2 linked regions of the Macaca fascicularis genome follow. The protein of the gene in region 2 purifies or fractionates together with the protein of the main gene of each other region. This does not show direct contact. Links are inferred from orthologs where the notes say so. Each region holds a gene or a part of one and is shown on either strand. Other genes may lie near its edges.

Region 1 (3,651 bases), on a different chromosome or scaffold from region 2:
GTTGCAGTGAGCCGAGATTGTGCCATTGCATTCCAGCCTGGGTGATAAGAGCGAACTCCATCTCAAGAAAAATAATTTTAAAAATCCAAAATAATGGAGGAGACGAGATTGTGACTGAGTGGCCAATTCTAGACTGCAACAGCTAGGTGATTTGAAAGATGTCATTTGACTTTATTTAGTTGAGGTGTGTGTTAAGTTTCTGAGGGTTTTTTTGTGGGTTATTTAAAAACTAAAATTCAGATAGTGTTCAATATATTGATTTTTAAACTTTTCTGTATTGAACTCCTGTAACTGGAAATATGGAAGGCAGTAAAACAACAGAAGGTCTGATGCAGTGACTTACGCCTGTAGCCCCAGATGCTTAGGGGGAGGCTAAGACCCTGGGGATCTAGGCTGTGGTGGGAGGATTGCATGAGGCCAGGAGTTCACTGTGATCATACCTGTGAATAGTCACTGCACTCAGAACTGGGCAATGTAGCGATAACCCAAGTCTAAAAGATACTAAAAAAAAAAAAATTACAGTAAGTAGTTATAAGCTTTATAGTAGAACCAAGGGCCTTTATTACAGGGAAATCTGTACTGGCTCTGTTTCTCCCTGGGTGCTCCTGATGTAGTCTAGTGCCAGTGTATTTGCTAACTCATATCTTCTGTACATTTGATTTTAATCCATTATTTTGTTTATGTTAAAGTGAAAGGAGATGACCTTCAGGCCATTAAGAAGGAGTTGACCCAGATAAAACAAAAAGTGGATTCTCTCCTGGAAAACCTGGAAAAAATTGAAAAGGAACAGAGCAAACAAGCAGGTAAATGGGTTTTCTGCTTGTTGGGTATATAGTTGGGTTAGTTACGTAAGGCACTTTAAAGTATATGTTGGAATAGTGGAATATAAAGCAATGTAATATGAAACTTGGGGAGTGTGAATTGGGAAGGGTATTTGTGTGGGAGGATTTAGATTTGTGCTGCAGTTCTGTGATCCTTAGTGGGGATTGTCTACATCCTGTGGACATTACTGCCCCTAGACAGACTTGTCCTTCTCATCCCCAGTAGAGATGAAGAACGATAAGTCAGAAGAGGAGCAGAGCAGCAGCTCCGTGAAGAAAGATGAGACTAATGTGAAGATGGAGTCTGAGGGGGGTGCAGATGACTCTGCTGAGGAGGGGGACCTACTGGATGATGATGATAATGAAGATCGGGGGGATGACCAGGTGAAAACCACGGGAAAGGAAAGAAAAAGGTGGTGGAGGGGGGCTCAGGGACACATGGAGTGCCTCTAACTCCATCCTATTTGTGTCTGTTTCTCACAGCTGGAGTTGATCAAGGATGATGAAAAAGAGGCTGAGGAAGGAGAGGATGACAGAGACAGCGCCAATGGCGAGGATGACTCTTAAGCACATAGTGGGGTTTAGAAATCTTATCCCATTATTTCTTTACCTAGGCGCTTGTCTAAGATCAAATTTTTCACCAGATCCTCTCCCCTAGTATCTTCAGCACATGCTCACTGTTCTCCCCATCCTTGTCCTTCCCATGTTCATTAATTCATATTGCCCCGCGCCTAGTCCCATTTTCACTTCCTTTGACGCTCCTAGTAGTTTTGTTAAGTCTTACCCTGTAATTTTTGCTTTTAATTTTGATACCTCTTTATGACTTAACAATAAAAAGGATGTATGGTTTTTATCAACTGTCTCCAAAATAATCTCTTGTTATGCAGGGAGTACAGTTCTTTTCATTCATACATAAGTTCAGTAGTTGCTTCCCTAACTGCAAAGGCAATCTCATTTAGTTGAGTAGCTTCTGAAAGCAGCTTTGAGTTAGAAGTATGTGTGTTACACCCCCACATTAGTGTGCTGTGTGGGGCAGTTCAACACAAATGTAACAATGTATTTTTGTGAATGAGAGTTGGCATGTCAAATGCATCCTCTAGAAAAATAATTAGTGTTATAGTCTTAAGATTTGTTTTCTAAAGTTGATACTGTGGGTTATTTTTGTGAACAGCCTGATGTTTGGGACCTTTTTTCCTCAAAATAAACAAGTCCTTATTAAACCAGGAATTTGGAGAAAAAAAACCCTGGTTTTTTATTTTTGTATTTTATTATTGTTTACTTCAAACTTTGTTTTACAGCGTCCTCCACAAAACCTCTAGAATGTACTAGATACATTTTTCTTGGAGTCATAATCATGATACATACCAACACAACACTACTCAAATTATATTTCATTGAGTTGCATGTTGCATTGAGGAGTCAAATAACTTGACATACAGTGGCGATTGTTTTTCAAAATGGCTTTTACATCCTAATGAAAGTTCAGTGCTTTGTGGTCCAACTGGCACCCTTTTTGAGGTTTTTGTTGTGTGCTAAATTGCTTTGTCCTTAAATAGGAGAGACTCAAAAACAAGATTTCAGGAAAATTGCAACAGCTGGACAATGGAACTCCCTGCTTTCTTCTGTTTTGTTCTTTTAATTACTATTTATAGCCTCAGTTACCTTCTGAATTCTGAAGTGTATATCTCCATGTTACTGAAAACGAGAAAACTCTTATTTCCTGATACTCCACAGTCTTGCCTTCCCAGGTGATTGAGAACATAAAGAATGTTACATTTATTTTACCCTAAATGATCTTTTACCCCTATTAGCTGATCTTTGTGTTTTCCCTCAACTTTATTAATTACAGTTATTGTATTTTTAGCATCCAGTCTTACTTAAAATGAATATATTAAACAGCTACCAGTGTTGTGATACCTCATCCTTGAAAGGCTTAATTGATTTGTGTTTTAAACTTCAGTTTTTCCAGCACAGCAGAAAATGGCGTTTATAATTTTTGTGCACACAAACCTTGGATTCCCCTATAAAGTTGCTATTGTTTCATAGCATGCAGCACTGGCCTTTTTTCATCCTACTCATTACAGGCGAAACTCATGTCTTATTTATAAGGATTTTATAGATCATTTTCTATATCAGGTGACAAAAGCAGAAAAGAATGAAGAGGCTGAACTATGAACTACCCTTGGAGCCCATATACATGATATAGGCAATTTCTTTTGTATGTTAATTCAGTCAAAAATACTACCCACTTGATGTTTTCTGATCTGATGTGAGCTCATGTTACATAGACTTTTAGTAAGTAACCCATGACTAGAAAATAAACTGGATGCTTAGGAGAGAGTGTCAGATGTATAAGATGCTAATAAAACATGTTTAATATTATGTTGTTAGCTGTAAGTTTTTGGGAAATACTGGAAAAATTAGTCCACAATCAAGTGTCTACTTTTCACTTCACTGTAGGGCCTCTTTCCCCGCACAGAGCAGTCTATTTAGCTGTGAATACCACAATCTGCAGATGCTCAAGTCCCTTACATAAAATGGCATAGTATTTGTATGTAACCTATGCATATTCTCCTGTATACTTTAAATCATCTCTACATTAAAATACCTGATAAAATGTAAATGGTATGTAAATAGTTGTAACTACTTTTATTTGTATTGTTACTTTTTAATTTTTTTTTCTTTACTAGTATTTTCGATCTATAGTTGGCTGAATCTGCATGTGTAAAACCCACGAACACGGAGGGCCAACTATACATTTAATTCTGTAGGAAAGCAGATATTGAATGAAGCTGTGGAAAGCACTTAATATTAGGTTGGTGCAAAAGTA
Region 2 (3,706 bases):
GGTCGTACACCAAGATTCTGAACATATAGGCAGGTCCTCTTAAGTTTAGTGTCTTTGTGTAATGGAAGTAATAACTATTTTGCCTTTAAGTTGCCATAAACATAAAATGAGATAATGCACTTAGAAAAGTAAAAAAAAAAAAAAAAAAAAAAAAAAAAAAAAAAATCTCATAAACAAGACAACTTTATCATGTATTGAAGGTGGTAGAATAAGAAAACATTAAACGTTTTTATTCTCATTTCCCTTTCTTTCCTTTACAGCTTTCATTTAAACTTGAAATTTCAAGAGAAAATTCACTTTTGAAGTTTTTACTTTTCAAGTGATAATAGGGTCACAGGTTCTTTCCTTCCAGTCTTTCTGTGTTGCTCCCACTCCCTTTTCTTTCTCACATGTAATTTTTTTCCATTTTCTTTAAATAGTATCTCAACTGGGCTCACAATAGCTCAGGGAAGGAGAAACTGGGACATGCCTGATTAATCCATTTTACAGGCCAGGAAACTGAGGCAGATCCCAAGCCTCTGAAGCTCTGACTCAGCAGCATGCAGGGAGCCCTGCCGCTCTCTGCGCCTTTTCTAAGCAAATAGAACAAAACTAACCTTGCCAGGTTTCCAAGCTTGGATCTCTAACACTCCTTCAACGTTCACCCCCGACGTTCCTCCTCTCAGCGCCCCCTCCCTCTCCTTGCCGCCCCCTCCTCGGGAGCAGGTGGTAGGCTCCGCTCCCGACGCGCATGCGCGCGGCACGGTGGGGCGGGGGCGGGGCGGGACTGGGGGTGGAGTGTGCGCGGGCTCGGTTTTGGGCCGCGGCGGGAGCTGGAGTCACCGCCACTCGAGTGCGCAGGCGCTTGGCGGTTACCGGTCTCACCATGGAGCGGAAAGGTGAGCGGTGGAGCGGCCTCCGCCACGAGGGGCAACGGCCGCCGGGGCGAGGCCCGGGTCAGCGCCCGGAGCTTCGCCTAACTGCCGCGGTTCGGTCCCCGGGCTTGCGGCGCCCCTCCACTGAGGTGGCGCCGCCCCACACCCCCCGCCTCTGGGCTGCGGGTCCGCGCCCCTCAGCCCGGGCGTCCTCCGGCGCCGGCCGTCGCCGCCCCTTGTTCCCTGCCAGGCCAGCTTGCGCCTTGGGGCCACTCCAGGGCCCGGACCTTGGCGGGCGAGGCAGACCTCCGCCCGCCCGCCCCCTGACCCGGCCTGAGACCCCTCCGGCGCATCCCGCCCGGGCGCTGCTCTGTGCCCCGTGGGCCGCCAGCCCCCCGGCCGGCCGCCTTGCCGAAGCCTCCGCGCTCGTACCGCAGCCGCCCCTGAGACAGGCCCCGCAGCCGGGCCTGGCGCCCCTGCTGGGTCTCCACCCTCACCTTGGTCACCTCCTTTCCTCCACATTTGCCCTTCATCCATCCCTCTCTCCTGCAGTGCTTGCGCTCCAGGCCCGAAAGAAAAGGACCAAGGCCAAGAAGGACAAAGCCCAAAGGAAGTGAGTCTTGTACCCCAACATCCCATTCTTTGGATTTTCCTCCGGCACCTTCTCTGCTCTGGTTTCGCGTCTTGAATGTGCACAGGGTTTGGGCACCCTGTGGCCGCAGCCACATGGCCTCGGGGCAGCTCGGAGGGTCGCTCTCCAGCAACCATGTGGAAGAGAGCTGCTGTTGCTGAACGCCAGGCCTGGGTCTTAGCAGCCCCAGGCCTGCTGGAAAGGGCTGTCGGAGGAGGACCAGAGCCCGCCCGGTACCTTTCCTCCCCAACTCCACAGAGGAGGCACAAACTCCCCTAGCTTGGACCCCCCCCCACCGGAGCTGGTAGATCATTATCGTTCTGTTTCTGAACTCTGGTCTCTCTCTCTTACCTGCTCCCCAACGTCTTAACTTGCCTCCAACGTCTGCACGGTAGGCCTTAAGGAAATTCTTGAATGAGTTTTTCCGTGTTTACTTTGGGTTCTACCAACCACACACTCCCTTTCATAGAGGAGGGCATGGGGCTTTTCTTTGGGTTAGTCAACTTCCTGAACCTGCAAGGCACATCGGCTTTTTTGCACTGTGCCGGCAGACCGCTGTGTATACAGTCAGTGTCTGTTAACTGCTTCTCTTCTGTCTAAACCTCAATCAAATGCAGATAATCTTCCGGAGTCGGCATCACTATAGTAACGGGAGAGTTCTTTAACACACATCGATGGTTCTGGTTTGGTGTATTAAGCGCCACATGTCCAGTTTTATCAGTGGGATGCATAACAGTAGTTTAGTGCTATCGTGGCAAGTTCAAAAGTTGGTCACAGCCTAATAGAAACTCAGGTAGCAGGCTTCATTCAGCAAGTGAGGCTAAGCCTAAAGAACTTTCATCATGTACTAACGTTTAACTGCAAAGGGTCTTGGAAATCAGCTCTTGGAAATCATCTCTCAGAGAGAGATTCTATGCCTAGTTCTTAATTTTAAGATGTATTATCTTTATACTTTTAAATTTATTTGATTTTTTTGGCGTTGTATGCGGTCTAATTCCCTCTGAGTTGATACAACACATTTCAAAGGCTTTCCTAGGTCACCCCACTGAATGACAATACCAGATTAAGGGGGGCGTAGGGGTGTGTGTTGTTTTTGGAGGCTACCTACTGTTTGGGGAGAGCACCTAATGACTTCTGTCTTTCAATAGAACTAAAGTGGTAGGTGACCTCACCTCTTGCTCTATTTTCTATTCCGTCTTATGAAATATATTTTGTAAGTGCTTGGTGACGAAGGTTTGTAAATGGTGAGTTTGTGTGTGTCTGTTTGCCTTTGGATTATCCGTATATGGGATTATTCAAAACCATTTTTTAATCCTAGATTGTTTAATAGAAACAGCAAGGTGCTAACTTGGTTCTAGTGTGCAGTAGGAATTGAAATGTTAGTTTTCTGTGCCTAGTTGAGTTATTCTTTGTGGAATTGATAAGAATGTGTTAAAACGTTCTTTTCTATTGATACGAGGAAGTTGCGGTTTTTATTATATTACTGTATTTTTTAGAAATCCTGGTCTCTCAGACCATTTGTCCGGATCTCTCTTACCACTTGGAAATTAATTTGAGATTAGCCCAAATCAAGCTATAATTTGAGGGGCAAATGTATATAGGTGATCATATACTTTAAGCACCAGATATCTATTACTTCCGATTATCTATTTAGACTATATGCTTTATTTCTAAAGCCAAATATATGTATATCTGTTACCCCATTCACTACTATGGATAACTTAGAGTTATTTGTGTTGTTAATTGTTTGCAAGTGTGGATTATAGATAACGTAGCAGTCATTTTACTGAATATTTTATCTTGAACAACTTTGACTCCTGAAAATATGCGTGAATGAACTGCCCCATTTACTTGTAATTTCAGAGGTGTTTTATTTTTGGTTTTGTTTCCAATTAATGCGTTTTTGCGTTTTTTTGTTTTAAATTTACCTTTTTATTCTTTTTCTTTTTGAGGCAAGTTCTCGCTCTGTTGCCCAGGCTGCAGTTTAGTGGTGCGATCTCGGCTCACTGCAACCTCCACCTCCTAGATTCAAGCAATTCTCTTGCCTCAGCCCCCCAAGTAGCTGGGACTATAGGTGTATGCCACTACGCCTGGTTAATTTTTGTATTTTTTGTAGAGATAGGGTTTTGCCATGTTGCCCAGGCTGGTCTCAAACTCCTGAGCTCAGGTAATCTGCCTGCCTTAGCCTCCCAATGTGCTGGGATTATAGGCGTGAGCCACT

What was found.
Region 1: the proteins of SRPK1 (region 2) and HNRNPC fractionate together in Homo sapiens (co-fractionation; 3 studies listed by BioGRID and IntAct, with this or other methods). This does not show direct contact. The link is inferred for Macaca fascicularis from reciprocal best matches to the Homo sapiens genes SRPK1 and HNRNPC.

What each region holds. Positions count from the first base shown.
Region 1 is NC_088381.1:88,872,710-88,876,360, reverse strand, and holds the end of HNRNPC (heterogeneous nuclear ribonucleoproteins C1/C2), read left to right. Parts: intron 1-689; coding exon 690-803; intron 804-1,044; coding exon 1,045-1,205; intron 1,206-1,304; coding exon 1,305-1,388; 3' UTR 1,389-3,203; downstream 3,204-3,651. UniProt on the Homo sapiens protein: Binds pre-mRNA and nucleates the assembly of 40S hnRNP particles. Interacts with poly-U tracts in the 3'-UTR or 5'-UTR of mRNA and modulates the stability and the level of translation of bound mRNA molecules. Single HNRNPC tetramers bind 230-240 nucleotides.
Region 2 is NC_088378.1:135,750,826-135,754,531, forward strand, and holds the start of SRPK1 (SRSF protein kinase 1), read left to right. Parts: upstream 1-823; 5' UTR 824-865; coding exon 866-1,467; intron 1,468-1,836; exon of another isoform or gene 1,837-1,901; intron 1,902-3,706. UniProt on the Homo sapiens protein: Serine/arginine-rich protein-specific kinase which specifically phosphorylates its substrates at serine residues located in regions rich in arginine/serine dipeptides, known as RS domains and is involved in the phosphorylation of SR splicing factors and the regulation of splicing.